4 linked regions of the Schizosaccharomyces pombe genome follow. Changing the gene in region 1 together with any one later gene gives a genetic interaction. Each region holds a gene or a part of one and is shown on either strand. Other genes may lie near its edges.

The links.
Region 2: mutations in sck2 (region 1) and git5 together harm fitness more than expected from each alone (negative genetic interaction), as found in Schizosaccharomyces pombe (2 studies listed by BioGRID).
Region 3: mutations in sck2 (region 1) and cgi121 together harm fitness more than expected from each alone (negative genetic interaction), as found in Schizosaccharomyces pombe (2 studies listed by BioGRID).
Region 4: mutations in sck2 (region 1) and uri1 together harm fitness less than expected from each alone (positive genetic interaction), as found in Schizosaccharomyces pombe (2 studies listed by BioGRID).

Annotation. Positions count from the first base shown.
Region 1 is NC_003424.3:5,043,552-5,053,099, forward strand, and holds sck2 (serine/threonine protein kinase S6K family Sck2), read right to left. Parts: upstream 5,462-9,548; 5' UTR 4,967-5,461; coding exon 3,026-4,966; 3' UTR 2,065-3,025; downstream 1-2,064. Other genes in the region: ribosome biogenesis protein rlp24, read right to left, coding at 246-680, 928-1,066, 1,117-1,121; Golgi-specific 1-phosphatidylinositol 4-kinase, type III-beta Pik1, read right to left, coding at 5,858-8,228, 8,426-8,467, 8,517-8,635, 8,685-8,708. UniProt on the Schizosaccharomyces pombe protein: Protein kinase that is part of growth control pathway which is at least partially redundant with the cAMP pathway.
Region 2 is NC_003423.3:1,458,717-1,466,841, reverse strand, and holds git5 (heterotrimeric G protein beta (WD repeat) subunit Git5), read right to left. Parts: upstream 2,994-8,125; 5' UTR 2,517-2,993; coding exon 1,599-2,516; 3' UTR 1,097-1,598; downstream 1-1,096. Other genes in the region: putative alpha-1,2-mannosyltransferase Omh5, read left to right, coding at 1-704, 807-1,031; mug93 (TPR repeat-containing protein), read right to left, coding at 3,759-4,743, 4,898-5,007, 5,067-5,123; ribosome biogenesis protein Llp1, read right to left, coding at 5,775-6,080, 6,220-6,267; rRNA endonuclease Utp24, read left to right, coding at 6,858-6,994, 7,049-7,490. UniProt on the Schizosaccharomyces pombe protein: Beta subunit of the heterotrimeric guanine nucleotide-binding protein (G protein) involved in glucose-induced cAMP signaling.
Region 3 is NC_003421.2:917,184-924,019, forward strand, and holds cgi121 (EKC/KEOPS complex subunit Cgi121), read left to right. Parts: upstream 1-4,194; 5' UTR 4,195-4,238; coding exon 4,239-4,763; downstream 4,764-6,836. Other genes in the region: rps1702 (40S ribosomal protein eS17), read left to right, coding at 681-683, 748-1,143; yta4 (ATPase Msp1), read right to left, coding at 1,589-2,656; THO complex subunit Tho7, read right to left, coding at 3,272-3,503, 3,553-3,703, 3,760-3,978, 4,032-4,038; skb5 (Shk1 kinase-binding protein 5), read left to right, coding at 5,886-6,308. UniProt on the Schizosaccharomyces pombe protein: Component of the EKC/KEOPS complex that is required for the formation of a threonylcarbamoyl group on adenosine at position 37 (t(6)A37) in tRNAs that read codons beginning with adenine.
Region 4 is NC_003421.2:324,331-331,444, forward strand, and holds uri1 (prefoldin-like protein), read right to left. Parts: upstream 2,765-7,114; coding exon 2,617-2,764; intron 2,543-2,616; coding exon 591-2,542; 3' UTR 538-590; downstream 1-537. Other genes in the region: dar2 (aspartate--tRNA (Asp) ligase), read left to right, coding at 1-537; DNA-binding transcription factor, CBF1/Su(H)/LAG-1 family Cbf11, read left to right, coding at 3,212-3,293, 3,372-5,131; tfx1 (translin family protein), read right to left, coding at 5,419-6,114.

The sequences.
Region 1 (9,548 bases):
AAACGAGAAGAGAAGCCGAAACCAAATGCCAACTTTAGATATGCAAGATAAATTTTAAAAAACACGTTTTCGAAGTGTCTAAAGAGTTCGAAAGTGTAAGAAAACCACTCCCCAAAAATGTCTTCTCTTCTACTATTTTGTAAATTTGAAAGGAATAAAACAATAAAATAAAATAAAATAAAAGAACGAAGCGGGACGCAACCAACGGAAGATCGAGAGTTACATTTTTGTAGGAAGAAGAGTGTTTAGTCCATTTGCATGGCTGAAGATGAGTTTCGAGATTTCTTGTTTTTGCGTTTTTTGGCGAGGACGGGAATCTTGACAGGTTCTGCAACTTCTTCTTCCATGGTATACTCCTCGTCGGAAACAATTTGGGGTTCTTGTACCTCAGCAGTTTCAACCTCACCTTCGGGTTCGGTAAATTGAGGAACATTTTGAGCAATGAGTTTTTGAGCTTCTTGAAGCTCTTGGGCACGTTTGCCAGCCAATCTCTTTTTGTAAAACAGACGCTCTCTCTTGGCATGAACTTGGCTAACCCGTTTCATGGCATTCAAAGTAGTTGCAATGACATTACGGTCGTAACGAACAGGAACATTTCTACGAGCTGCGGTAACTGCGAGAGCTGTGTCATAAACCATTTCCTTTCCATGTGCCTTACGGTACGCTTTGGTCCAAGCAACCTAGACATTGAAGTTAGTATACATACATATAGGTGGAAGCAAAACATTTAAAAAAACAATAGAAAACTTTCTTCGTTCATGGGCATATAAAGGAAAAAGTACACCATTTAAGGTAGAATTTGAAGAAGAAAAGTATCATTTCAAAACAAGGCAACAGAAAAAAATTTTTCCTCTTTCAAAATCAATCATCTTCCTCAACCAAGTCTGTATAACGTTTTTGCATTCCTTTATTATAAAAAAAACATACCTTACGAGGATTGCGCTTCATTTTGAAGTTCTTATGGCACTTGCTGCGACAGAAACGAAAGACCTTGGAGTCATTTCTAACAAACATTATTCCATGTCCTGGGTAAACAGGACCCGAGCAGAAATAGCAAGTATGTACCCTAAATTTCCGTTAGTAATAAATACTTTGAAGGCATTTAGCTCTACAAACCTCATATTCCCCCTAAATTCTTTCCCGTCCTTGTATGTTCAAGTTGGCTAAGAGCAGGTAAAAATTCGCGCTCCCTACAACGCACATATTTGAGATGCGAGCTTCTACTTAAGCTGCGTTTTGCGAATTCCAAATATGCCTTATCTAATTTATGATATATCGTTAGGTTGCGTTATTTAATGAAATACCATCTCGGTGAAGTTTCGAGTGAATGGTCTCGGACGCAATCTTAGGAACCTATTAATAATAAATTTTATCTTCAATTTTTGTTAACTCATATCGCTTCTTTATCAAAGGCGTGTCTACGCCAAAAAAAATAAATACATAATATTACCGAGGTTAATTGCTTTTAAAAACACAATCCCTCTATGCATATGCAGTTTACTGGATTGCAATAGGATACATAGACGCACGATCTTAAAAGGTATTTTACAGTATTCACGATATTTGAGCTTTTGAAAAAACGATCCCGCCAGGAGTCGAACCTGGAATCTCTTGATCCGTAGTCAAGCGCCTTAACCATTGGGCCACGAGACCTTGTTATCATTACAAATAAAATATACTATTTATTATACAAGTGTGTTTTACTTAGTCAAATTGAATAAGTCTAGTATTACAAAACAAGAAGAGTCTTTAGTTTTCAAGTGATTTTTGAGAAAATGTAATTGTTTTTTTTTTTTTCCTTTTTTTATTAAATTTTATCTATTTTTCGTACTTACCGATATTTTTTACTTCGTTTTAAATTTTTTAGTTTAGTTATTTACCTTTTCTCCATCAAGACCATACATGATAACAATATTATGTGTACCATAAGTTAAAGAATATTTATTATAATTACTTTTTTTAATAAAATGAATGTACAGGTTATTTTTTTACATATTTAGTTTTTATAAACATTATATCGAATATTTGTGGCAAAGACCCACAAGACAAATGAATGAAGAGAATCACAAGTAAAATAAAAATCGATAAACTGGTTTCCAAAACCATAGTTAAAAAATTTTTATGTCATTATCGTTATATCTAAAACAAATTATCGTATACGACAGTATCCAAATACATCTTCATCTGAAGATCTATTACAAAACGACCCTCAAGGAGGGCATCAATAATACTGCTATTGTACTTTGTCTTTTCTTTTTTTTAAATTCCTTTGCGTTTAAAAGAATATGTCTTTAACTAGATTCTAACATACACCATTATACATTCGTAAAACTGAACTTCAACCTAACTGAATAAACGTCTATCCAGCAAAAGAGAAAAATAAAAAAAAAATAAGGAGAGGAACAAAATCGAAGACATTACAATTGGAGATAGAATAGCCTTAAGCAAGATGACAATTACTTAGTAAAGCAAAATACCTTACTACTAATGTCAGCCAATTCAACGAATTTTGGAATTGTGTAATTACCACTGTACACAATTAAGTCATAGTTCGGAACCAAAAAAACTAAGCACAATTTGTTCCAAAATTAGTTGATTCAACGCCATACAAGCCCAACATTACACCAAAAAAGCCTGGTGAACGTAGATTAAAATATAGAAATAATAGATCCTTTGATCATTAAGTATTCCCTTAATATGCACCGAAAAAAAATGAACTTCACCCGAACCTGCTTCCACATAAACAGGCATCTTAATAACAATCCTAAAAAATCATTCTTAGAAGGGAAATAAAAAAAAATTAAAACGATACGCTTCAATGATTAAGCGCTGATTAAATTAAAACATTATTTACCTGTCCTTCAAAATACATGTTGAAATTTTGCTGGACAACTAGTAAATAAGAAAATAGTACAACGATTGAAAGCGTGTACAAAAAGATACTCTCGGGTTCAGGGATCCAGCCTAGAAAAAATATGGGCATAAGATTCTCAATGCAGTGATACATTCGTGGAGACCAAACGTATTATGGATCTATTTGTCCCATAAATACCTCATCGTTCGCACGATTTAAGTCCATATCGGAATTGTCCTTAGAATAATCATCTTGACTGGAAATACTAGAAGCAGAATCATTTGAGTTGTGGTATCCGAATGCTTCATCCATAGCACTTGCGTCAATATAGGTAAAACCCTTAAACCCATTTTGGACAGTTGATGATAAAGGTGCAGAGGTCGACATTTCATCTGTGCTACTAAAGTCTCTATCGATTGCTTTATTTGTAAACTCGACATCAAAATTAGAAACATCTATTTCACCTTCCACTATTGGTTTAAATGGTGGACTAATTTCTTTCGCAGCGAGTTTCTTCCAATCAATTCCATCAAAAAATGGATGCTTCATTACCTCTTCAACATCCCCATGTGCACCAAGCCTATGCTTTGGATTACGATTCAATAATAGCTTAATCAAATCTCTGGCTTCTACAGATAGCAACCCTCTAGGAAAACGGACTTTACCAAACACGATATTCTTGTAAAGTTGTTGTGTGTTATCAGCGTAGAAAGGGCTCCAGCCACATGTCATCTCGTACAAAAGTACCCCTAAAGACCAGAAGTCAACCATCATATCATACCCTGCTTCGTCTAAAATAACCTCAGGAGCTAGATAATCCGTGGTACCGCAAAACGTACGTGTAGTAGTCCCCACTGAAAGATTGGCCTTTGACAAACCGAAATCACATAAGGCAATATGTCCTTGAACGTCCAAAAGAATGTTTTCAGGTTTCAAATCCCGATATACAATTCCTCGTTTATGCAACGCTTGCAAAGCAAGCAACAATTCGGCAATATAGAATTTTGCCCTTTCTTCTGGAAATCGTACCGATTTTTGAAGGTGCCAAAATAATTCGCCTCCAGCCATATAATCTGTCACCAAATATAAATCTTTGGGGGTCTGAAAAGAGAAACGTAAAGCAACGATGAAGGGCGAATCAGCTGCAGAAGTTTGGACGAGAATGTCTCTTTCCCCAACAGTGTGTGCAACTTCTTTGCGACGGACTATTACTTTTTTGGAAAGTACTTTCATTGCGTATACGCGCTCGGTGTCTTTTTTACGAACAAGATAGACTTGACCAAATGTACCTTTTCCAATTAATTTCAACGGAACGAAGTCATCAGGGCCGTAGGAGTGTTGACTGAGAGGCTGGAAAACAGTATTGAGAGAAAGACGAAGATCAACCATACGGTTGTATGCGGGAGAAACTTCAACGCTGTTGCAAAACTGTTCAAATTGACCATAATTATAAGACGGGTGAATGTAAGTTCTCCCAACAAATTCATTATTATTACCATGGTCATAAATATTAACATCGATGGGGACCGGTTTAGCAACATCAAATACAACATAAGATGGAGTTAAGGGATTTGGAATTGAAGACGTACGTTGAATTGCAGGAGTAGGAATGGGATGAGAGCTCATCATAGATGAACTCCTACTCACATTAGCAGAATCCCGACTAGATGTGCCTATATCACGGCCAGGTGATTCCCATTTCAATGGAGGTGAAACAAACTCCGTCGTACCAAATTGAACAACAACAAACAACTGATTAAGTCTTGAGCATTCCATGGCTAATGCTGCATCAGTATGAGGTCCTCCCAAAACTAATGAACCTATTTGAAGTTTCAAATAGCCTGAAGGTTCATGGTCAACTTCAGGTAATATATCATTACTATTTCTGTTACCAACCGTAGACTGGTCACTGGCGAATTCTTCCATGGGATGGTCTATCGAGGAAGGACCTAAATTTGAAACTGAAGGAAGTGAACCACCTTCACCTTCCTCAACTGGTTGATTGGTTTGGATGCTTGCCAAAGGACTTCGGGGAAGTGACCCTTTAGCAGAATTGGTGGAAACCGATTTTTTAGACAGCCCGAACCAATTTTTTGCCCACTTATTCATCATTTTATAATCACTCAAAAAACCAATTTATGTACGATTATTGTAAAAGAAAATACGAACACAAAATGTCACTGTTGGATTAATTGCTTGTAGATGCAAAAAGGGATTTTCTTTCTTTCAAGCAAGAAGAGGTATGAAAATGAATTCAAAAGGTACTTGTTTGACTGATATAATCACGACTTAATACCTGCATAAAATTTAATGATGTAAAGTCTCAAGTAATAATTCACCTCAGTTGGATATAATCCTGATAAGAAAAACTATTAATCAACACTAAAATTTTCCTACCAAATTTCTTTGTTATATCACGAATACTGTAATCAATATGAAGATACCCCATTAACCAATGTCAACTACAATATTGTGCAAAGAAACAACCCCTAGTAGAAGAAGGAACAAAGGATTATAACACAAAATTATAAATGAAAAGAAAAAAATTCCAAGTTCTAATATACAATTACTGTTTGCGCCTAATTTTTCAATTTGATGGTAAAGGGTAAATTGAAGTGGGTTGCAGTACCTAATCTTACTTTAAAATTTGGTATGTCAATATACGGAAGTGCGAAAGGATTCTTTAACCCGGATTTAACTACGCCAAATTGTTTGCTAACTTAGAAATGCAGTTAATTTAGACAGTATGCTTTAATAGTATATTATAATTGCAAGGGTTTCTAGTGGGTATGATAAATCATATAGATCACATAAAATATTTTTAATGCATTAATATAGCTAATCTAGCTAACAAAAAAATTACCAAATTTACGAACCATGGTGAATGTGGTGATTTTAATACAATATTGAAAGTTAAAAAAGCCAACCAGCAGTATGGTTCAAGTGTGGAAGCTCCGTAGCTGTATTCGAAAAAAATGAAAAGAGAAAACGAATAGCCACTTACTAGTAAATTCCGTTCGTAATATTTTGAAACAGATCATAAAGTCTCGTCCAAACACTACAATTTGCCTTTTGAATCAACAAATCCACAAAGTCATCACATTCTTTGTCACCAAGCTGTAGTTGAAAACGTTGCAAAAGTTGTGCACTTGTGTTTTCACCAGCACGAAAGCAAGGCATTGTGGAATTATTTTGCATAACTTCAACAAGCAAAATGATCTGATCAGCGTTTTTTCGAACAGATTTAAACGCAGCTTTCATCAAGGAACGATATTCATCAAACCGGTCGTCAAGGATTTCTAAATAATCCGCCGTAAGCTTAAATGGAGCGCTTTCAAAGCCAACATTCCCCGGTGTATTCGTAAGTAAAAAGCCAAAATCAATATGTATAATATGACCTTCACTATCAATAAGAACGTTACCATTATGTCTATCCTTTAACTGTAGTAAGTATGATATAATGCTATATGCCACTAATGATTGAAGGAAATTTGTCTGTGCCTGTCGATACCGGCTGCTGTTGGGATCACCAAACTGCTTTATAAAATAATCCTTCAATGTAACAACATTTTTACCAGCAATTTTTCCTTGGGCTAGTTCAGCTTCCCGAAGCTGTTTCGTCAAATTCTTTTTAATAGAGTGAACACTAATGGCATTTGTAATCGTTTCTATTAAGCCACTATTGTCGCCGGTCACTAAAATTTTCATCCTTCGAACCCAAACCTTTTCTTTACACTCTAGCCAAACACGCTGAAACGCGTATATAAGTTGACAGGCAAATGTCTCTTGCCGGAGATCCGCACCCGTTTTAACAATCACACTGACCAAATCCCAATTGGGATAATGACCATAAGGAGAAGACTTTCTTATCCTTTCCTTCTTGGCATACCAATCTTCTTGGAATGTAGCGGCACTGGGATCATCTCTATCACCTTTCCGTTCTGCCTTTTGAGTTTCTTTGCCAAATCGCAGATCTTCTGCGCATGATATGTCGACTGAAACAGGATAAATGGATGGTTCATTAAGGCGCTCTTCTTCGAGTCTTTGCATGTCAAGAATAATGCTATTTTTTATTCGTTCAGTCTCAGCTTTGGGACGTCTGCTACCTTCAGCATCAAGCTGACTTAGCATAGTTGCCGCAGCTCGCATTCTCGCTGTTATTTCTGAAGCATAGATTTTACTTCTTTTTAAGGCGCCATTTCCATCAGAATCAGAGTGGCGCCCAGATAACAGGACGACATCGGTATCTCTATGAGAGGACGGTACCTGCAAAGATACATTACCAAACGAAGAGAATGACTTACTCAAAGAAAGAGTGTCCGGTACCAACCCTTTTATCAGAGGAGACATACTTAAATCCCCTCCCTCACTTTCCGACTCTGAAATATCATTGTCGGTACTGTCTTGAAGGTTCGTATAAGGATCGACATCTGTGAGGTCAAACCACCTTTTTCTTTGGTTTTTATGAGAGACAATCTTTTGCACCTTAGCCTTATTTTTCTTCGATTGTGGCTCGAAGCTGAGTTCACCAGATAGGACCTCAACCATAATAAGATAAGGTACTCGTTCGGCAGAATTGAGTATGGTAGCCTCTTTAGGATCAATGCGAACGATTTTATGACTCACTTCTTTATGATATGATCGTAAAAGCGGTATGTTCACATCGGCTGGAAGGTTGTTATTTAAAAGAGCAAGTTCGGCGCGTAATGAAGAAAGGCGAGCTTGTCTAGGTACAATGATGAGACGGATAGATATATCTTGTAAAGCAAAAAGAAATTGAATTTCTTGTTGAAAATAATTAGAGCGTAGAACACGACGCTGTTCGTCAATAGATAATGTAGCTGATGATTGATATGAATGGGTGCGGGTTAGTTCTGGAGCTTTTAGTCTAAGGGATACTTCGGAATGTTGCTCGACAATAGAGTTGTTCAAAGACGAACGTAATACGTCCAGAGAATATCGAGGTTCGGTGGAAAGACGGCGTAAAACATCAACATCTGATTCATCTGGATCTTGCCTAGGGGCTTTACGGCCTTGAGCAATTGCAATGGGGCCAGCTTTTTTTAGTAGTTCAGGCACACAAACACCACCTAGCATGATGCCTGAAAGGATTAGGGCAGGGGTTACATTTTCGGAGATTTTTTGTTGGGACTGTATTAACGATGATGATGACATGAAAACCAAAATCTGAATACGATTGTAAAGTCGTTTACATATTTTAAAACAAGAAGAATGCGGCTGTAAACCTAGATCCACCATATGGGCTTGCAAATACCAAAATGTAATGAGTGCGCATTGTGTATTTTGTTCACATTGAGAAATGATAAATTCTTCTAAAGCAACGCTTTCAGAATCTTTGTTAAGGACGAGATGACTACAGTATGATATTAGAGATGCACGAACACAACGGAATAAACGTTTGAAGGAAAGAAAATCAAAAGGTAAGAGAGTCATTAAATTATGAAATAGGCATATGAGTCATATACTCGGCTTTCACTGACTTATGAGCTCGACTTTTTGGTACTTTCCTTCCCCCCAAAAATTTTTCTTTATTTATCGAAATAAACGTACATTAATTGAGGAATAAAAAATTCTATCTCTTCATAAGGAAATCTAATATGTGTTAGACATAAAAAACAAAGAAATGATACGGTAGACATACGTTGCTAGTTTTTCGCAAAGAAAGTGATGAATGCCAATATTGTTAGGATAGCGTGAAAGATATGCAACACAAAGTTGACTCGTGAAATGGGCAGACTCAAAGAATCTTAAAAGTAACTCCTAGAAATAGCGTTAATTACGCAGCTAACACAACGATCAAAAGTCATACATTTCCCGAATTCGAAGATGGCATGTTTAACCTTGAAGCTGCATAAACATCGTCATATATTAAGTCGATGTTGATGCTAATTAAAATTAAATAATATATGCCATGTAAGGCTTAAAAAATGCGATTTTTCGTTCACTTAGCCTTCACCGTAGTATGAATGGGGAAAGTAGCGTAGGCCAAGTATCCACTAAAAGGGGAGGGTAGGTCATCATCTCAAAATGTAAACATGCCAGTTGCAAAAATTGAATTTTTGTTACAATTCCAAATATTACTAAATAAATTCTCAGTAGAGCTCAATATTAATTATGTAGTTTTAATAATACTAAAACAGGACTGTTAATTGACAATACAAAGCTTTACTATCACTGCAACGAAAAAGAATGCTACATCAATTAATCTATCTAAAATTCAAGAAAAGGACAGTTCCTAGAGACCTATAAATCACTTTCCGCTTACAGCGAAACCTTGAAGCAAAGCTGAAAAAGAAAGTGGGTATTCAGCATCCAGATAAGCTACATGCCAGTGAAAAATGTAGTTTTTAATTCAGAGAATCTAGTAGCTGTTCGCAATGGCTGTTTAATGCATTCAAAACCTTTCCTTTATACAAGTTGATGTGATAGTTTTAGATAATTTCTATCAATATTAAAAAAAATGGTTCCACGAGAAATTGACGAGAAGAAACCGCATTTGTTACAAGGTCAGATCAATAAGGGTAAGATACTAGTAGCGGAATATTGAACTGGTTAGAATAGGCATAACTCAATTTGAACTAATTAGTTTTGGTCGTCGAAGTAAATTTGAGAAGATGGGGAACAGATACTGGCACAGATAGACAGGTTCTTGCTACTTGAGCTAAAGTTGGAC
Region 2 (8,125 bases), on another chromosome or scaffold:
GACACTTCAAGTATCCTTATGTCTTCTTAAACGATGAACCTTTTACTACGGAATTTAAAAAAGCGGTTAAGGATGCTACGGATTCTTCTATTCAATTCGGTGTTCTCGATGATGAACTATGGAACTTCCCTAAAGATGTCGACAAGGATATGATAGATGAGAGTATTGCTGAACAAGTTGGAGTCGTATATGCGAACTTTCCTAGTTATCATAAAATGTGCAGATTCTTTTCGCGAAACTTTTACAAACATCCCTTAATGCAACAGTACGAGTGGTATTGGAGACTTGAACCGGAAGTCACTTTTTCTTGTGACATCTCTTATGACCCATTTTACTACATGGACAAGCACAATAAAGTCTACGGATACGTTATTGCTATCAAAGAACTTGCAAAAACTGTTCCAAATCTGTTTCGGTACACTGTTGCTCATCAAAAAATATCCAATTTACCAACTACCGATCTTTGGAGCTTCTTCCTTGATAAACGCTATGAAACGAGAATTAAAAAGCTGAAAGAAGAACAAAAAGATCAAGGATATTACGTTTTACCGGAGCCCCCTTTAAACCGAATTGATGGCCAGATTTATAATCTATGCCATTTTTGGAGTAACTTCGAAATTGCACGCTTAGACTTTTACAATAGTAAAGAGTATAATGAATATGTCGACGCATTGGAAAATGCTGGAGGATTTTGGACTGAAAGGGTATGTTTTTACAGTTTATTCAAAAAAAAAAAAGCATTGTGTTCTTCGAAGTGCAATCTTCTTCATACTTTTTTCCTATCTCTGATTACTAACTTATTTTAGTGGGGCGATGCTCCGGTGCATTCGCTAGCAGTGGGTCTTCTCCTTAATCGATCTCAAGTCCATTACTTTAGAGACCTTGGGTATCAACATTCCACAATTCAACACTGTGGTCAAGAATATGGTTGTAATTGTGATTGCCCCTTCAACATACCCGATTATGAAACTAAGCCAGGTTCTTGTATTAACGAGTGGGCATCGGTGATGGGGGGATTTTTAGATGAATAAGAGCGAATACGGGTACTTTACGCTCTTTGTATTATAGCTATTTACAGTTTCTTTCAATTCGTAGTATACATACATAGAATTTTATTTAATAAAAGAATTTAATATTTGGGTTGTTCTTTCATAAAAATAAGTTTTAAAAAACAGCAAGACAACATTTATAAAAAAGTTTATTATCATACGTAAGAAGAAAAATACCTTTAAGAAAAAAAGACTAAAGGGTAATCGTTAGGATTAAACGTTTACAAAATCGCAATAATTAAATAGTAATAAAAAAGCGCCAACCTTTGCAAGGCGAAATTTTCGAAAAGGTATATTTTTGTTTAGAAATAAAAGAGAAACGTAACGAAAAAAATAGGGAATTAGTACACAAGGGTTTATGAATACATTATCAGTAAAGCATCACGAAACCACGCATAAACGTATAAAAAATTAAGAAAAATAATAAACCAGTGGGACATGAAGCAGTCAACCTCCTAGAATCGAAAACGTAAATGTATAAGAAAAAAAAACAAAACAAACATCATCATTTCCAAAGACAAAAAAAAAAGGAGAAAAAAAATCATTAATTTACCCTGACGAAGACCAGAGACGAACACATTCGTCCCAAGAGCCAGTTGCCAACATTGTTCCATCAGAAGTTAAAGCTAAAGAGCTAATTCGATTTTCATGGCCTGTTAATGATGTGATGGTTTTGCTTGAGATGGAATCCCAAACCTCGCATGTTTTATCTTTTGCGATAAAAAGAAGTTTTCCAGACTTGGAAAATAAGACTGAATTAATGGGGGAGGATGATGGAGATGAATACTGGAATATCTCAGCAGAAGCACGAATGTCAAAGCACCGAGCGATACCATCCTCTGCACCCGTAACAAAATCAGCGTTAGAAGGAAAAAAGGAAATGGAATTAATATCCGATGTATTTCCGGGAAATGTGGCACAACAATAAGCAGCCCGAAGGTCCCAGAGCTTGGCTAATTTGTCACAGCCTCCGGTAACAAATAAATTGGGATTTGAGGGTAGGAAATCTAGAGAGACAATATCCATTTCATGACCTTTCAAAACGCTAATGGCTTTTGCCTGCTCTATGTCCCAAAACATGCAAGTTTTATCGCCAGAACCCGTAAGCAAATGACCGTCATCGACATACTTACAGCACGAAACAAATCCTGCATGCCCAACCAATTCGACCGGATCCGCATCTGGAACACTGGTATCGTATACTACGCAAAAGTTGTTCAGCCCTCCAGCTGCTATGCTCTTAGTGGAGGGTGAGAATGCACAAGTCATAATCCATACGCTTGGTGCTTCAAAGAACGCAACTTTGTTGGAAGTGTGCAAATCCCAAACTAACAGAACATCATTCGTTGATGCAGATAATAAGTACTTTCCATCTGTAGATATGTCGATGTCAGGAATTTTTCCCAGCTTGTTTTTGAGAACTCGAGTCCCTTGAATGTTGACGTTTACTCTTGACCCAGAATCCATCTTTAGAAATTGAACCAGTATTCCGTCTAATATTCATACAACAGTAACGTAACTGTTCCTATACGATATACTCACAAAGAAAGGGGAGGAAATAAGGATACTAAAGATCTTAGGAAGAAAAGCGAAAAGAATATAAATCCACCTGATAAACTACTCTCACAACAACAAATTTAGAATACTCCTACAGGGGTGCCCAACTTTAAATCCACCCTAAAGAGTAAAAAATAAAAGAAAAACAATACAAAAAAAAGGAAGAGAATAGTAATGGTGCTTCGTTTAAAGAATTGCAAGCTCTAATGTTAAAATTGGCGTTCGCCTTTGAAACAATTTTACGATGACAAGCCTCTATACAATCTATTATTCTAATACAAGCACAAAAACATAAACACCAAAAGGACCAACGTATCGTTTTTCAACAAACACAAAAAAACGGCTTTCTTCGCTTTTTTACTGGAATTTATGTAAAGAGCTAAGGTCAAAAGAAGAGTATTGGGAAACCGTCATAGTGTGTGCAGCGTAACACAAACATATGGAATACGTCATCCTCATCGTAAGCATATAATAGCCGATTCATTCTGCGGTTTTCAACTTGTAGACTACCATAACCTTGCCATACCGATAAAATTGTATGAAATGAACGTTTAGTTAATAGAGATAATAGAAAATTGAAAAACCTGCATTAGACATATATTTTTTTGCTGTTGTAGCGATTATGAGAAAAGGGTTGCTTTACCACGTTGGCTGTGTATCTGTGAAATGGCTTTGTTATAAATAAACAAGCAATTTAGTAACAGAGATGTAGATATTTTGGATATCTTTTTTATTTTGATTAAATCGTGAATATGCGATTCATGGCATATACTCAGAGTATGAGAAACGGCAGTATTGGTGTGCAACACAAAACTGTCTTGAAAGTTTTTTTGTCTCTTTCATTTTGTTCAATTTCTTTAACAATTACACTTAACATTTGACGGACAATACTTGTGTATTGGGTCGATGACTGTCTTCATTGCTTGGTGTATCCGGCGGTAAACAAAATGGCAAACATTTCTACTTTGCCCACAAATATATAGCTTCATGTGGTTGATAATGATTATTTCAGCACTGAAAATAAGAGGTTGATATACAATGAATGTGTTATTCATAAACTACACACGGTTATTAATGCCTTCTACTCCAAATGATTGCATCGATGGTTTCTGGACTGACTTAACATACAAAAATTTATTGTCATCAATGTTATCATGTGTAGCAATTGATTGGGATCTCTGCAATTTCAAATTCAGAAGAGAGATCAGTATTGTTGATGGGTTTTTTGGAAACATGCCAGTTTCTGAATTCTTCTTCTTGGATGTCAGGAATATGCAAAAGAATTTGAGCTGCCGTTATATGTAAACAATGTTGCACGACAAAACTGAACCACGGCAGCCCACTCAACGCTTGCATCAGCGATCGTGCCTTGTCGGACCATTGCTTGCAAAACCTTGAACACAATCCGATATAGTGTATTGATTTTAAGAATAAATTTAACTGCTCAACCGACATTCCATGAGCTTTGAACAATTGATTAATTGTGGAAATAGGAAATGAAAACGTTTCAATGTACAAACAGGGGGCAGATAGGACTTTTATCATATAAAGAAACTGATCTATGTTTTGAGGGCATGGGTAATTGGATCTGTACAGTTCCTCTGGGACCAATAGAGAGTGTTCTCCCTTAGTTATTTTATTTTCTAATTCGTCCTCCGAGCTTTCTATTCCGATTTGGGCGCTGGGCGAGTGATTTTCGGTATCATCCTTTGCATAAGTATTTGCCATGTAAAGCATAGACCGCATTGCTGAAAGATTCTCCTTTTTCAGTTCGCATTGCTGTCCACACAATTGGCAATTGTCGTGCACTTTCTTCCACCAGATCTTGCCACGAATTATATTAGGGTATTGTTTTCGCAATCCTACAGGTAATTGCTGAGAAGAAGCAACTCTAAGGTGTCTTAACTGCCATGTTTCTGCACATTCTCTGTAAATGTAATACACTTCCTTTAATCTATGAAGAGATTTTTGGATGTATGTATTGTTTGGGTCCAGTTCAAGTGAATGCTCCCAATCACGATTGGCTAAGTGAGGATGTCCAAGTCGCAAATAAGCTAGTCCTCTCCTCCATATCACTTTTTTATCATACGGATTGATGACTAGAGCATATGTACAGTCATGAACTACTTTAGTATAGCTGCATGCAAAATAAGTTAGTTAGCATAAAAGCAAAACTGCTGCAAAGGTTCAGACGATGTTTTTTTTTCTTTCGAGAAACCCCGTTAATAATCCAAAGGATTCTCTGAACCTTTGTGACATAGGTAATTTGTTAAATTTATTATGTTACATACGATTTTTTGCGCAAATGAGTTAATGAGCTATCGGCGTAAACCGGTGTAATGGTGTTTTCATTTCCAATTGCATTAAGGAATTCATCAAAAACATCTATTTCTCGTGTGTTCTGTTTATTGAGGGTTAGAAACGTTACAAACATCTTCTGGTAATCAAAGTAGAGCATACCTCTAGTGCAACATAATTGCTTTTTTCCACCAAGTTTACGTTCTCCTTTTCTTCCATTGCGATTTTGAATGCAGATGGTTCAAATCAGATGGAATGTCAATCTATTTGTTTATGTGGTAGAACAATATTGGAATGTATGTGTGAAGGCATATCATAACCATGTGCACTTTTGTAAACAAACAATAACTAAAATTATATTTTAAGCGATAAAAAATACGCAAATAAAATTAATTTAATATTTAGATATTCATACTTTATTACATTTCTGTAAAAATCAGGTTTTACAACCAAGAGCATTACTAATTCTATTTCATGTGGTAAACAAAGCAAAAAGCACGATTTAAAAGTGCAGTTTTTGAGACAGAGAGACGTTATTAGTTACATCGTACTTAATTACAATAAATATAAAAAATAAAATTAAAAAATTGACTTATTCCAACAATATAGAAACTTCATCGTGAAAAAAAGTAAGTCTTTGAAACAAAATATTCATTATTGGAAAAAAATATGTTTTTATAAAGAATAATATAAAATAATCCAAACCCCCCAAAAGCAAACAAAATCCTTATGCAACACGGTCAACGTCTCCAGTTGAAAACCAGAAATTTGAAAATAAAATTATCCCAAGGAAAAAAATCTGAGAAAAAAGATTGATAATTAGTTCTTAAAAAGATCTCGGAGTTTATATATTAAATGGTGAACTTAAATTTACTTTTTCTTCAAAAATTTCGAAAAGTTACTGTTCTTGGCACGCTTTCCTTTCTTTAAATGTTTCTTTGCCCATTTGTTGCGATTGTTGTCACGAGGACCAGAAGTAGAGACTTTAGGCTGATCAACTTCCATACCAACGTTATCGGATACTTCTGAACTGCTGACTTCTTTCAAGGAATTATCGGCGATTCCCTCTTCTTTGCTAGAGGATGACTTTGTAAGGTCATTGACCTGGTCACGTAAGTGCGCAGACAAACGCTTAGTCCGCTCATCAATTACGGGTTGAAAAACGTTTTCTCTAAGCTATTACTTTGTTAGATAATCGATAAAGAGGTATGAGAAGGGCAATTGTTTTAAAGACGGTTCCATTGTACATAAACCGTTTCCGAAACCAAAAAAAAAGACATTCAATCCCTTCATTTGTCTATACTATACAACATACCACTTTTTTATTGCGACGAATGCTTTTTGAACGTGCTGATTTTGCCATTGCTGATGTGTGAAAAAGTTGAATGCAAAGGTTCATCCATTTTTACAAAACTTATATCATTTAAAATAGCACGCTGGTATTCGTTATAAGCTATACCGTTTGTAGGGTACGCAGGGAAAGCACTATTTAGCAGAATGTATCATGAAGTTTTAGTGAATAAAGTAATTCATATTAAAATACGTACTACATATGTCTGGGCGGTTCACCGTCTCTTCTACCCTTGAACCACAATAAGTTAATTGAAAGAAATAATTTGGGCAATGTAATATACAAGAAAGTATGTCGCGTAAAGTTGTATTATGTATTTTTTCGTATCGTTATATAAATATACCTATTTATTTTTTTAACGATCAGTTGGATTAAAAATACGTTATGCTTCCATTGTGATACACTATTTTACATTATGGAAGTTTTAAGAATGCATTGAACTTCATTGTCCTTCAGTCTCATCCAGCAGCCTGCTTCCCTCTTTGAACAACTAATAATTTTTTTGGGCACTTCCAATTGAAAGGGTATTTAGAGCTTTGGACGTTGAATGCGAAACTTGTAAATTAAATCACTTCTTCTTTCTCTTCCGTTAATTATTTTCAATGGGTAAAGCAAAAACTACACGCAAATTTGCTCAGGTAAAGCGAGTCATAAACCTTAAGGATCAACGATTGCAAAAGAAAGATCAGAAAAAAGAGAAAGAGAAAACTACAAAGAATGGAGAATTAGTTCGAGAAATGTAAGTAAATTTTTTTATAAGCACTTTATTGATTTTTGATGCTAACCCCTCAAGTCCACAAATGGCTTCCAACCTTTTCTTTCAGTTCAATGAGAGTCTAGGACCTCCCTACCATGTTATCATTGATACAAACTTTATCAACTTTTGTCTTCAGCAAAAGATTGATCTTTTTGAAGGACTCATGACCTGTCTGTACGCTAAGACCATTCCTTGTATTTCTGACTGTGTAATGGCTGAATTGGAAAAATTGGGAATTCGCTATCGTATTGCACTTCGAATTGCCAAAGATGAACGATTTGAACGTCTTCCTTGCACTCACAAAGGCACGTATGCCGATGACTGTATCGTTCAACGTGTGATGCAGCACAAATGCTATTTAGTTGCTACCAATGATAAAAATCTGAAGCAAAGGATTCGCAAGATTCCAGGTATCCCCATTTTGAGTGTTGCGAATCATAAAATTAGAGTAGAGCGTTTGGTGGATGTGGTGGATTGAGAAAAATCAAAATTTAACATGAAAAAAAGAGATCATCTTGTTAATTGATACTTGACGATATGTTTTACCCGTACTATCTTTTCTGGTGAATTACTTTTAGAATAGACGGACTCCTAAAAAGTATCGTGGTAAAAGTGATCCATATTTTTTAAATGGGTTTATTTCCATGAATGGATTTGACGTCTGATTATTGATATATATTTTTGTTATTAGGGTATTTGGTTTTAATATCGTTTCATCTCTGTGGAATAGTGAATGAAAATGTTTATAAACTTTTTATGAAAAAGGATTGATTGGAAAGTAGTGTTCCGTTTTCAATGGTTACAGCAAAATTATTTATGTGAGCATTTTGACGGGGGTTTTTTTTTTTATTTATGAATAATAAAAATGGAAAGAATTATGGTTTGTTTACAAAGTAGTAGGAATCTAAGAAAAAGGACAAAAGTTATTAATTTCTATGTAGGTATATATATACGAAACGGTTGATACAATACAAAGCGAATATCAAGAAAAAAAATATAAGCAATGGAAAATTGCTTATCAGTACTATTCTATTCCTATAAACCCCAAATACTTACATACTAACTAAGGCTACTATAAAAAAACGACAATTCTAAGAAGAACGAGAAAGAAAA
Region 3 (6,836 bases), on another chromosome or scaffold:
CTGCCGAAGCGAATGTTTATTTCCCTTTCTCATTTTGAAGAGCACCTGCACTGTCTTGTGCTATGCGACTAACAGGTCCAAGGTTTTTCTCTATTTATATAGCTATGATATTATAATTTCAAATACCATGTTGCCTTTTGGAACAGTTTTATTAAAAGCGTTTTATCACAATATATTAGCAGAGAAAACTATAGTAAATTTCTACGAACATTTTCACGGCTAAAAGTCATTGATTTAACATTAACGGAGTTCAATGCTAATGAATATGGCTTTGTTGTCAATTGCTTTATGTTTATATCAATTACAAAAATCAGTAAAATAGATCTTAACAGAGAACTTCTCTGCAATCACGACTTGATGAATAAGAGAATAAACCATAAATATGCTATGTTTAGTTAGCGTATCAAACATAGTGAAACGTAAAGTTTTCTGGACTTTTTATCGTTAATTAGATTAACACAACTCTATAGTGTTTGTGGTAATTGGATCTTAAACTATTTTACATAATGCTTTAGTATTCTTAATAATTATTATATCGCGCTACGATACTTTGTTTTACTTAAATTAGTATTTTGTAATAAACAAGAATATCTTTATTCGATAAACTAATTTGGACTTGAAAGCAGTCACACAGTACAAACTCAAGAATTCAGTGTAGTAAACTCATCACAGGAACAGAAATGGTAAGGCTTTCAATAGAATAGTTAAGAAACCGGTTTGAGGATAGAAATTACTGACAAAACATAGGGTCGTGTACGCACCAAAACTACGAAGAGAGCTTCTCGCGTAGTTATCGAGAAATACTACCCTCGTCTTACATTGGACTTCCAAACCAATAAGAGGATTGTCGATGAGGTTGCTATCATTGCTTCCAAGCGTCTCCGCAACAAGATTGCTGGATACACGACTCATCTTATGAAACGTATCCAACGCGGTCCTGTCCGTGGTATTTCCTTCAAGCTTCAAGAAGAAGAGCGTGAGCGCAAGGATCAATACGTTCCTGAAGTCTCTGAGCTCGAGAAGGACAAGATTAACGTTGATCAAGACACCAAGGATATGCTTAAAGCTCTTGGCTACGACTCTATCCCTACTGTCGTTGTCGCTGCCTCTCGCCCTGAGCGTCCCTTCCGTTACAGACACTAAATAACATTTTAAAAAAAATAAGATGTATGTTCTTTTGAACTGTCACGGTTATTTATTTTTGTGATGCATTTTGTACCATATTGTTGTATTTGTATTCATTTCGATTTGTAGACAGTAAAGTAGGTACGTAAAATCGCTCCTCTAGAAGCTCGGTAGTTAAATTTATTGTACATTTAGTTTAGACGATTTCAATTTTTTCATTTTTGTTTTTACAATCTTACAAATTTACTAAGACCGTTCGTTGTGAATATGATACCTACTGAAGATGAAAGTGCAATGGGCAGAAGTCGTTTAATAAAATAATTAAAATTGGCTGTTGTACAAACGCTCAATATGTTGACTTGACATATTAAGAGAAAAGGAAACTAAACGGTAGAATAATAAAACAATTCAAATTATGATAAACCCTGAGACGTAAATTCAATAAATACTTTTTCTAATAAATTCACTCGACGTCTATACCGGAAACATTTTGTAAGGATTCATAATGATAAAAGTCTTCCGTCTTCAAAGACCTCAAACCGCCTGATTGTATGTCATATTTGATTGCTTCCAAATCATTTCCATGCTTGTCAAAAAGCTCTCTGCGTGGAACTGATAAAGCAGATCTACAGACTTCCTTGATATATGAGCCAGACAGTCCAGCAGTGGCATTAACAACTCCATTCCAATCAAAGTTCGCTTCTAACGGTACCTTTTTTAAATAAAGTTCTAAAATCTTGCGACGCTGTTCGGCATTTGGAAGAGGTATGGAGAATACTTTAGGCATACGACGCCGAATGGCCTCGTCGATGTCAGCTGGTCGATTAGTAGCACCCAAAACAAGAACCCGTGACTGACCACTCAATAAACCATCCCACATCGACATAAATTCAGCTTTAATTTGAGCCATTGCTTCATGGTCTGTCCTTTGGCGTTGCCGCAAGAAAGTATCAATTTCATCGATAAATATTATAGTAGGCTCAAGCTTACGAGCTAGTGTGAATAATGCGTCCACAAGCTTGTTTGATTCACCGAACCATTTGTCTGTTAAAAGGCCCACACTCACATTTATAAATGTAGCTTGACTTTGCTTGGCTAATGCTTTAGCTAGCATTGTTTTACCACATCCAGGAGGCCCGTACAAGAGTAAACCCTTTGGACACGACAAAAGTCCGCCATGGGTGTCAAACACTTCAGGGTATTTTAAAGGAAAAAGTACATCTTGCAAAAGCTGATTAACATGTTCATCCATACCTCCAATATCATCAAAGGAAACATCGATTTCGCTGGGTAGAACGAGCTGTGATGCAACAATCTGCTCATACTCATTTAATTCCAGAGTCTCCAATTCCTTGACTTGTTCCCCAGCCCACTCATCAAGTCGCTTACGGCTTTTGGAAACTGTATCCTGCCTTTTTTGTCGATACGGATCTAAAGTAGACAAAAGTTTATGTGCTGCGTACCAAGAGCAACCAAATGCTAAGGCATAGACAACGATCTCTTTAATTGCCCTTTTAGTCGTCGGATTCATAATCAATTCCCCAGTAATAAACTTCAAAATGCAAGCACACAAAATTTTATGCAGTAAATTTGTCTGGTGGCACGCTACTACTATTGGGGCGGTTGGTATGTTCAGCTAAATGGGTAAAGAAGATATACAAAGTTGATCGTACTTTGCTACATTGTTTGGAAAATATATTCATTGAAAAAATTATTTTTAAATAAAAAATTTTCATTTTCCTAAAGAAACAATCCCAATGGTTTCAAAGCGCAGTTATCAATTATCAAAAGTGGTAATGTAACAATAAATATTTACTCTCTGTGCCAAAAGATTTGGTTATAGATGAAATAACAATTAGTAAACAATAATAATTAAGCAGAGATTTTTTCTGAGTAAATAACCCATTGAAAAATGAGAATAAAAATGGAGCGAGAAACCTTTTAGGAGATTTGGATATACTTATAAATATCCAAAAGGGAACCTAACGGAACTATATACAAAACAATAAAGGACATATCAAGACTAAATCGCTATGCCCGTCCAGTGAAGCTCACTGTTTAACATATCCTAAACGGAAAAACCATTCCTATCATTCGTAAATTCACGAAAATTTTTAAATTATATACAATTTTTTCCTCCTAGGATTTATTTGGCCTTGTATTGAGTCGAACTTGACGACGAAGGATTTTCACCTTCACTAGCAATGCCTTCTTCTGAATCAGATTCGGGATTACTAGGAGGATGCAATATAGACTGTAGGTGGTTCATTTGCTTTAAAGTTTCATCAAAAATATCTTTTCTCAAATTCCATGCTTTTACATAATTCGCGTTTTCTTCTTCTAACTCACGAATAGCATCTTGCAACTTTCCTATTGATCTGTAAACCCGGTCAGTCTAAAATATTCAATATAAATCTGGAAACTTACTCTTGTTGTTCTGTTCTTGATCTCAATCCTTTTGACATTATTGGCTTGGCCAACTCGTCGTATTGTTCACGCTTTCTTAATTCTTCTTGGGCAACTAGTAAATCTTGCTCAAGCTGGCTTATTTCGGTTTTTTCTGCTTCACAAAATGTTTCTGAAAATATTAATAAAAACATCACTGTACTTAAAGTTACGAATTTAATCACATACGAGTCTTCTTCAGTTCTCCTTCGTAAACATCCACTTCTTTAGCATTCATGTCTAATTGCATTTGCAATCGAAGCCAAAAAGCAGAGAGAGCAGAAAATTCAATTTCTAAATCCCTTAAGTTTGCTTCGTCTACATTTTGAGCAGCAAAACCAAGACACCGACTAATCAACCGTTTCAAAGGCCGTTCTTCCACAGTTAAGCGCGATCGAATCGCCGTCTCTGACATATCGGTTAACTTAATATTTTCAAAAAAAAAATTATTTATAGCATACCCTCCATAATGAATTGAGTAAAAAAAAAGCAAATTCACTATACAATTTAGTTGGGCGCTAAGTCAGTAGCTGGAGTGTTCGGAGTTTTAGTCACCGTATTTTACCGATGTTTACCGGCAAAAAGTTATTAGTACGATTATTACCTAAGAAATGTAAAAACGCTAACAAGGATTGCAGTTTGATATTGCTATAGAACAGGCGGGCAAAATGATTTTACCTCTTTTTCCAGAGACACAAGTTCATGTTTTTGTATATGAAAATGTTTCTAACTGTGCTGCGATTCATGAACAACTAATAAGCCAGAATCCCATTTATGACTATGCGTTTCTCGATGCCGCTACTATTCTATATAAAAAGCAGGTTTATAGCGCTATTATTAGGGCTCTCGAAGATAGAAGGGACGAACAAATGAAAACTAAGACGATTCACTCAGAGGTTATTTTGTCATTGTCCCCAAAAACCGAAATTTCTAGTGCGTTCCGACAATTCAGCATGACAAAAAAATCTAAAAACATTGTAGTGGTAAAAATTGATAGCAAACTTACAGAAGAAGAAGAATTTGAGCGCTTGGACAAACTTGTGGAAGGTAATAGGGTCGAATTTTCTGACGAAGAGTTACAAAAATTAATAGACTTCAAGGTGTTAAAAAAGAATTACAAATTGGATCCCTCTACGCTTGAGAATCCTTTGGCCTCTATATTATCTTCGATAGCTCTACGTGGTTATTCTTAAAAACATATGTTCTAGCAAATCTGATCTTTTGTCAATGTTTCACAATTGATTTGACTATTTTTCTATGCGGCTTGAATGATAATGATGAGAGTTCCAAATGGAACGTTGTGTGGATTCTTCTATTCCTTATAATTTTTTCCTCTCTCAAATGACTGTACAAACTATTTAGCAAGCACCTACATAATCAATTTTTGATTTACGAATTGGTAAAGGATGGCACGTAAAGTTATGCCCTCTGGTTTGGTTCAGTTTTATGATCTCTTGACAGTTTTACTAAAGTAACTAAGGGCATTTCATTACGATTATCTGTTTCGATACTTTTACCTAGGGAATGCTTTAGTGTTATTTGACATCATGTTTTGTTCTTGTGCAATATTTTTTGCTCAGGTCTATTGGCGATGAATTACTATATGGTGGATCTCAGTGCAAAAAGTTTACCATTATGTGAATAGTTATTAAAAGTTTAATGGGATTATAAATTAATGGGTTTTTTATTGCGCACCTTATGCTCCTGTTATAAAGAAAAGCAGGTCGCAAAGGTAAGAACTATTTTTATACAACAATAAAGGTTTTTACATCGTATGTTTTACAATTAACTGGCAGCTCTTTGTCAAAATTGTTTATTTACGGATTTAACTTGCCTTCTTGCGGTATTGACTGCTAAGCCGGAATTTGTGATATCAAGCCATCCGTTTCCCAGTCACGCGAAAACTCTTCCTTATGGAAATTTCATTTTAACAAGTACAAATCTGTTAAAACTACATTCATATAATCATATGCAGGCAGCCGATTAGAGAAAAACTAAATTTCTTAGGCAGAATTGTCATTATCCGTCAATACCGCGTTTTTTTTATTTTCCGCTTTGATTTTTTTTATCATTCTTTTTGGTTCTTTTATTTTTGTTTTTATTTGTTTTGTTTTCTTTTTTTCCTTTTCAAAAGTCATTTGAAGACAAAAACTCAACGTTGAAGAGAGCATTTGTTCATCTGTTGACTTTTCGCCAATACACCTGTTTTTTTATGGACTTGCTAAGTATAGTGTAAATTTAACGCTGTCGTTGATCCGTATGATTTCTTTTGATTAATTTAAATCGTTATATGTGACACTAGCAATTTTTGCTTCATGGCGGAAGAGACTGAAGAGGATTATTTAGTTGTGGGTCGTGATTACTTGTACCCCCCAGATCATGAACTGCACTATGGGTTTCATGCTCGTGTGATTGAAGAGGAGGAGGAGCGATTTGTAGATGATACCTTTGATGAAACAATCGAAGGATCGGATGACTCCGAATCAATAGATGATACGGAAGTATTTTACGATGCTGAAGAATCTGAAAGCACTCACCCTTCTGCTTCTTTCAACGTCCTTGCTGACGCCGTTGCGCTTTATGATTTCGAGCCCCTCCATGATAATGAACTCGGTTTTACTACTGGTCAGAGACTTTGTATTTTGTCGGAATCCAGCGATGGTTGGTTGATTGCATACGATGATGCCTCAGGAAGAAGCGGGCTTGTTCCTGAGACGTTTGTTAAATTAGAGGTATAAAAGAGCGTTGAATTGAACCCTTTTTACTTTTTCTTTTTGTCAAATTGATTTTAAAATGTTATTCCTTATTTTATGTTCCAAGATTTTCTGGATCCTCTCCTTTATATATAAGAATCCGAAGTGTTACGGGAAAAAAATTCGGATTGTCACGCTTCTTATGAATATTATTTAAATGTACGCCTTTAAAGCAACTATCATACAATTCTCCTTTGGGTAAATAACTAACCTTGGGATGTGTCGTAACTTGGGACTTATTTTTGATTTGTTATAAGGATGAAATGAATGTTCTATCTTATGGACCTTACAAGAAAAACTATAATATTGTCAAATATAATCATATGAGATGAGTTAAGCTACATAAAACTCTTTGAAACTTTATTTTATATTATTGCAACCTTCTAATAACTTTACATCTTCTTATCCAAAGAAGAAGGGTTAGAATGTACCGTGTTTTACGGAAGTTCCATTCCCGTAGGGTTACAATGTGTTGCTAGAATAAACCGTAAGTCATAGTACATATAGAGGCCA
Region 4 (7,114 bases), on another chromosome or scaffold:
GCTTTACCAGAGCTGGACAAGGATTTATTAAAATTCGTTTGGGTCGTGGATTTTCCTCTTTTCTCACCAACCGAAGAGAAAAATCAATCTATTACATCTACACATCACCCATTTACTGCTCCTCATTGGGATGATGTACATTTACTGGAAAAAAAGCCTCTTTCTGTTCGTGGACTTCATTATGATATAGTCGTGAATGGTATTGAATTAGGGGGTGGCAGTATTCGCATACACAATCCAGATATTCAAAGATTTGTGCTTAAAGACGTGCTTAAATTACCAGAGAATAGGTATGCTACATTTGAGCATTTAATACGCGTATTGTCTAGTGGCTGTCCACCGCATGGTGGAATTGCATTGGGTTTTGACAGGCTGGCTGCGCTGTTGACGAATGCTCCAGGAATTCGCGAGGTCATTGCTTTTCCGAAAACCTCTTCGGGTGCTGATCTTTTAATTGGCAGCCCGTCTGCTATTCCAGAAGAGATGTTGAAAGACTACAACGTTGCTATTACGCGACAAACTCAAAACCGTAATTAGATAACTTAAGCAAAAACATTAATCATTTAATTTTTTTTATACAAAATTTTAATCTAATGCTCATAAATGGGAACACGACCACGCAACCTCGCGGTCATAAATCGGCTCATTTTAGGTTTTTCATTTCCATTCTCATCCAAAGGTATAACTGCCTGTTCTTCTTCATCCTTAATATATTCACCTGTATTATCTATCATTTTTTTTCTCAGTTCGTAGTAACGTTGTGATATAGCTCGTTGATCACTAATTTCCTCGACTTTCGCATCGAATGCTTCTTTAGACTCGCTAATTTTGTCAGATGGAGTTCGTTCAACTACAAAATCTTTTACTACAGATGGTTCATTTAAATATTCCTTGGAAGTTTCCGAGCTTTTTTCTTTAGGCGGTGCTTTAAGCTCGGATTCTACAGTAGATTTGTCTTCTTCTTTTGGATTTAACTTTGTATTCGCAGCCCGATTATTTAATGTGTTACTCAAATCATCGTTCTTGATTGTACATGTGGCATTAGAATGGTTGCCCTCTTCGTTTTCCTTTGCGCGCAATTTGCTCCTTGCTTTACGAAACGCTGAAATACGACTCTGAAAATCGTCTGGTCCAAAAAGATTATCGTATTCTTCAGTTGGAGCAGGTATAACTTCAATATTCGCCTTTCCACTCCGACTGACGTGTTTAATTTCCAGCGTGTCTGAAAAATGTACCTTTCGAGGATTTTTTGACGAAAGCTCTTCTTGTTCAACGATTTGTGGAAAGTCACTGACATTTAGGCTCTCGTCATTACCATTGACATAAGTTGTAGCACCAGTCTTTTCTGTAAAATATTGAGGATCCGGTGGAGCTTTCAGTTCCTTGGAAAATCCTATCGTCATACCATGTTCATCTTCCTCAGACTCAGAATTATCATCTAATTCGCCTTCCTCCTCCATTTCCTGAATGAGAGCCTCCATATCTTCTAAAGAGTCTAAACCGTCGTATTGTACTGCTTCCAAAACATTTTGTCCTTGCGCAGTCGTCGGAACTGGTAGTAACATCGGTTCTTCTTCGACAATTTTATTGTCGGCATTATCTGGTTCTTCTATACTACTACTTCTAGTTTCGTTTATAGAATGAATAGATTCATTTCCTAGTGAAAGCTTTTCACTAGATGTAGCATGATCTTTGTTGCCAGATTTTTTTGTTTCTAGCTTAGCTTGTTTAAATTTTGAAAGACGCTTAGGTCGTTTTTTATGTTTAGACGTGCTAGTGTTATTATCTTTATTAGATTCCCCAGTATCTTGGGCCTTCGCTGTCGGATGCTCTAACACAATGTCTCGTAAAACTTCATTTTGGGTATCTTGATGTCCATTTTCATTTAAAGTAGAGTTATTGAGAGCATTCAATATCGTTTCTTTATTTTTTTCAATAGCAGAAGCGTTTGACTTTATATTTGAAGTAGTTCTGTTTTGCATTGCATTATTTTTTTTGAAAAGAAAACCCTTTTTAAACAAAGAAGTCTTGCTACCATTTTTAATTTGTTGAACCATATCTGAATCACTCAATGAAGCAGCCTGACTATTACTAATAGGACTCTCATATGTTTTACTGTCTGAATGATCACCATGTTTGCTGGGAAATTCTGAGACACCAAGTGTTGGAGTTGAAGTAAATTCAGTATTAGAAGGTAATGAGCCCATTTCTGGAGCTTTGTAGTTAATATTTTTCGTAGAATCGTTAATTTCTTCTTCAGATAGCTCTTCAATTCTCGAAGATGTATCACGGTTCCCCCCATTTTCAATATTTTTGAAACCAGGAAGGGATCGAAAGACATCCGCATAATCTATTACAGATGAAATTCTTTGTGGAGCAACAGAAGCACTTATAATATTTCCATCTTTATCAACTTCTTCATGAATATCCATAACAGGTAACCCTTCTGAGTTTCTTACTATCAACTCGGATTTCTTCTTTTCAATTGAAGATGCTAAGTCATTATTGTAATTTCCCAAAAGTAAATGAATATGATTTAAGACTGGATTTTCATTAGCAATTAGTCGTTTGATGAAGCAAACATTATCACTCAATTTATAAGAAAAAGTAACGTACAATCCACATGGGATGCTGTTTCACATCCTTCAACTTTTCCATCTTCCTTACAGTAACGGATCGCCCTACCGACTGATTCAGAAATTTCGCTAATCTTAGAGAAGATTTGCTGTTCAAAATTGATGGCTACTAGTCTTTCGTCGTTCATTCGATAAGTTGTTTTAAAGGATCTTAAATAGAGTTATTGAAGAATTTCTAATTCAAAATAATCTCACGCCAACGATCGTTTCGTGGTTATTCCGGAAAAAGGCATATACAGCTTATTCGGGCAAGCTAATATTCACTTTAAAAACGAGATAATAAGTAATTCTAATAAATTTTAAATACTTTTAGTATTTAAATAACAGGGTAACTAATATAATATCGAAAAATCGATGTTAATGGAAATGGCTCAAACTGAGTAGGAAGCCACCGACCTGACCCTAATGTACGTAGAAAGCGCCATACTGCAAATGTCCTAAGCATCTAGTAATTTGGTCCCTTACTTTAAATTTTAATATTTTCTCACTGAAAATAATTTAAGTAAAAGCAAATGCATGTCTTAATCCTATAGGTCCAACAGTTTAAGCAAGTATAAAACATAATTTGAACATTAATGGGGGACTATTTTGCCTGGGATTTTGCAAATATCTCTGGGAGTAATACTTCTGGCTCCTTAAATTTAAATCAGTTGAACTGTAAGCGCTAGCAATGATGGTTGAGTTATAAATCATTCTGAACATCCCAAGCGTAAAATAGCTAACGGATTTTTCTAGTGGACAACATAAATAATGGTTTGCATAATCAGGAGGATGGAGCTGGAGGAAGGAATGAAAATTCTGAAAGAGTTGGAAGCGGGAGTCCTGGAAGTGTTTCCATGCAGGTTTTGTCTCTCTTCAGTGCTGTAAACTCAGCTTTGGCTACTTTGGAAAAATCAGAGGAATTCCCTTCTGTAGTTAAGGATGAACAGTCAATTTTTCCTGCTGTAGCAAAGGCGTCTAATTCGTTGGACGAGCTGGCCCAAAACATAATTCCTGCTCCTTCTCCTCCTGGGTTTAATAGAAAAAGAAAAACCTTTGATGAAGACAGTTCTGTAGAGATGATCCGAAGAGCCATATCAGATCATTTGGATTTACTGAACAATTGTTGTATTGGCATTGCTAATTTGAATGAGGACAGTGTGCACAAAATTTCACTTACACGTTCAGGGAAACCTAGTCAGCTGGTAACAGTTTCGTGTCGACATTCCTCTGTCATACAAAAGTCTTATGGGTCAGAGAAACGTTACCTATGTCCACCCCCTATGGTTTATATTAATGGGAATTACTCTTCTATATTCAATCAGTCTTTTCGCACTGAGATATCAATAATGAATGATTTTGGGCAATGTTCGCAACCCATCAGCGAAGAATACACTGGCCAAGGATGTATGATTTTTCGGTCACTGCATATATCGAGTTTGGTCGCTGCGAAATCTAAAAACTTACGGCTTTCTCTGGACATGTTCTCGAATGTAAATAACCAATTGTTATCTCATTTGGTTACTTCTTCTATTAGTATTGTCTCCAAACCTTCGAAAAAAGGAAGCAAACTAAAAATTAGTAATATTACGTTGCGATCCGGTTCAGTCGTCAGCCTTTATAACCGGATTAATTCACAAACTGTACGTACAAAGTATACATCGATTGAGGCTGGTCAGTTTTGTCTTCGCGGTGATAGATGGGTGCCATTGCGTATTAACCTGCTATTACCAGATGAAAATGGTAAACTGAAGGTATGCGACGATGTCGATAACCCAGAACCCATTAAATATGGCTCCATCGTTGAATTGGTCGATGAAGCAACAGGAACGACGAGTGACCCTTTAATTATTCGACGAGTAGAAAAAGACCACATTGCTGAGGAGGACGGTTACGTTAATCAAATGCATAGAATTGTATTAGAAAGCGCATATCCCATATCAAACGTACGGCATCTTAAGATCGCTGAGCATAGTTCACTGGCATATTCCAATAATATTTCAGTCCGTTGGTTTCTTGGGGCCACGTCGGCACAAAACAGAAATGCATCTAGTGAGGCTATATTGCCCATAGAATGGGAAGCTGTTGGAAACTTGAGTTCAAATGAAATGACTCGAGTTGGAGATTCTGTATGCTGGACTATAGTGGGCATATCACATTTTGACTGTACGATGATGTTACCATTCAATCAAAATCCTGTACCAACGGTTACTGATTATCCATATATTGAAGAGCCACCCGAATATTTGGAGAGCTCGCGCTCATTACAATTTAAAATTGGAGGCTATTCGGTCGGATTACAAATTTGGCTAGGTGTTCATGGACCATTGTCGTATAGTTTTACCGCAGCTGCTGATACGAGTACAATGGGTACGGTCACTCTAGGTCTGTCGCAAATTTCATATGATCCTTCTTGTGCAGAACAAAAGTATCCTTTGTTGTTCGTGATTCCAGGTGGGATTGTCATTATTGGAAAATGCGAGATTTTGCTAACGTCAAGTGCTTTTGGAAACTGATGCATCATGATTAATTTTACGTGTGGTTTCATATGGCGAAATATTGAAATACAATTTGTTTTCAAAATGATGGAATTAGGTTGAAATCTCTCTTATTAAATGAACTTTATATTGTACAAACATCCTAGCTTATGGAAACTCTAACATATAGAAAGCAGCGGAAGCTTTTGATAAGATAATTGAATCGTCGAAAATATGTACTTAATAATTATGATTTTCAAAAGCTGCAAAACAGAAAAACTTTTAATAAACTAGTAAGGTGTCTGTCGAGAGCTGTCGATCATATATTATGTGGACCGTAATCGTTTCTCCTCGGGAGGAGTTGCTGTATCCACTTCCAAATTTAAATATCTTTTATCTGCTTCTCTTAAAATTTTACTATAGCAAATTCCTTCAACTTTTGAAATGCTGTTCTCCATTACTGATAATTTCTGCTGTAATTCTGACTTGACCTTAGATGGTAAGTGTTCAATTTCTGAGCAGTTTTTGTGTAGTCCACGAAGAAATTTAACTTGCTGAGTGAGTTGTTGGACAGAGAACTTAGAGCCGTTGGTTACAAGGAATCTCATTATTTCACCAGTCATGTCACAAACACCGAGTACATAGTCGATGAAATTAATAGAAATTCTAAAGCTACTATCTTTACAAGAAAGTAACGTACCTGTTTGTAACCAGAATTTGAAAGTGACAGCTTCAACATACTCTTGAAGGCCGTGTGTACAAGCAGAAGAGAACTTGTCTGCATTTAATCCAGCCAACTCTCTCTTCAGACTTTCTAGTTCTTTGTGAATTTTTTTTTCAAAAATGGATGTTCTGTCGAAATCCTTGGGTAGAGGAAATCCATCAGAAGAGGATGTTTGATGTAAAAGAAAGATCATTCGTTTACTTTGAATTGTGATTTCACGAGAAAGACGAATAATTTTCTCCCTCTTATCTTGATCCTCCTGTAAAAAATTTTTAAATGAGAGGAATTCCTCTTCCATATTTGGCAAATTCGGTTAAAGTTTTATAATATCCTCAATTCAGCAAAGCCGTGTGGAAGGTATAAATGTATAAGTCTATATTATCAATTGAATTAAATGCAAATCAAGATGACTATTTGTTGTTTAAGAGACGAAATATTGTTTAGTGGATCATTGAGTAAGGTTAGTTGGCTCTGTGCTATGAAATTGAAATAGTGATTTGAGCTGCAGCAGGACAATCGACCATGTATGGAATGAAGAGAAAATATTGTTAATAAAGATCGGTTAATAGGAATAATGAATTTTTTTGGTTATTTAAATTTACTGTGGACTAAAGCCATTTGCTTCTGACAATAAAATCTTGAACATGTGAAAATAATAAATATATAAAGAAAGAAATTTGAGCTTTGCTTGAACAATTCTGAAAATAACTACCCAAGTTTTTTGTCATTTCCACGTGTTATTTAGTTATATTTCTTAAAAAGAGTCCCGTCCTTTTTATATTTACAACATCATTAGTATTTAAAATAAATCTTAGCCTACTTAAAATCCAAGGCGCAAATGATTGTTTATCACAGCATAAATTCTTGCAATTAACGAAAGAGTGTACATTCATCAATCAATCATTTTACTAAATAACAATGCCGATGAAAACAGACTCAATACTGCTTAATTACTCAAATACATTACCAGGATTGCCCAGTTAAAGAGTATGTAGAGAAAGATATTATTCCTACTCAGCGTTGGCACAAAATTCATTGTGTTAAATGCTTTATTTACAAAGCTGTAATTGCTGATAAAAAGTGTCACAAACCGGGATCGAACCGATGACCAACAGATCTTCAGTCTGTCATGCTCCCAACTACACCATTGCGACTAGTTGTTATCCATAGTCATTATAGATCTAAATAAATTGTATTCTTAATAATGGTTTTATAATATATTTTTCAAATGCAGTATTGACAAATACATATCCTTGTCATTCACAGATTATACATTTGTAAATACTTCCTATGTACTT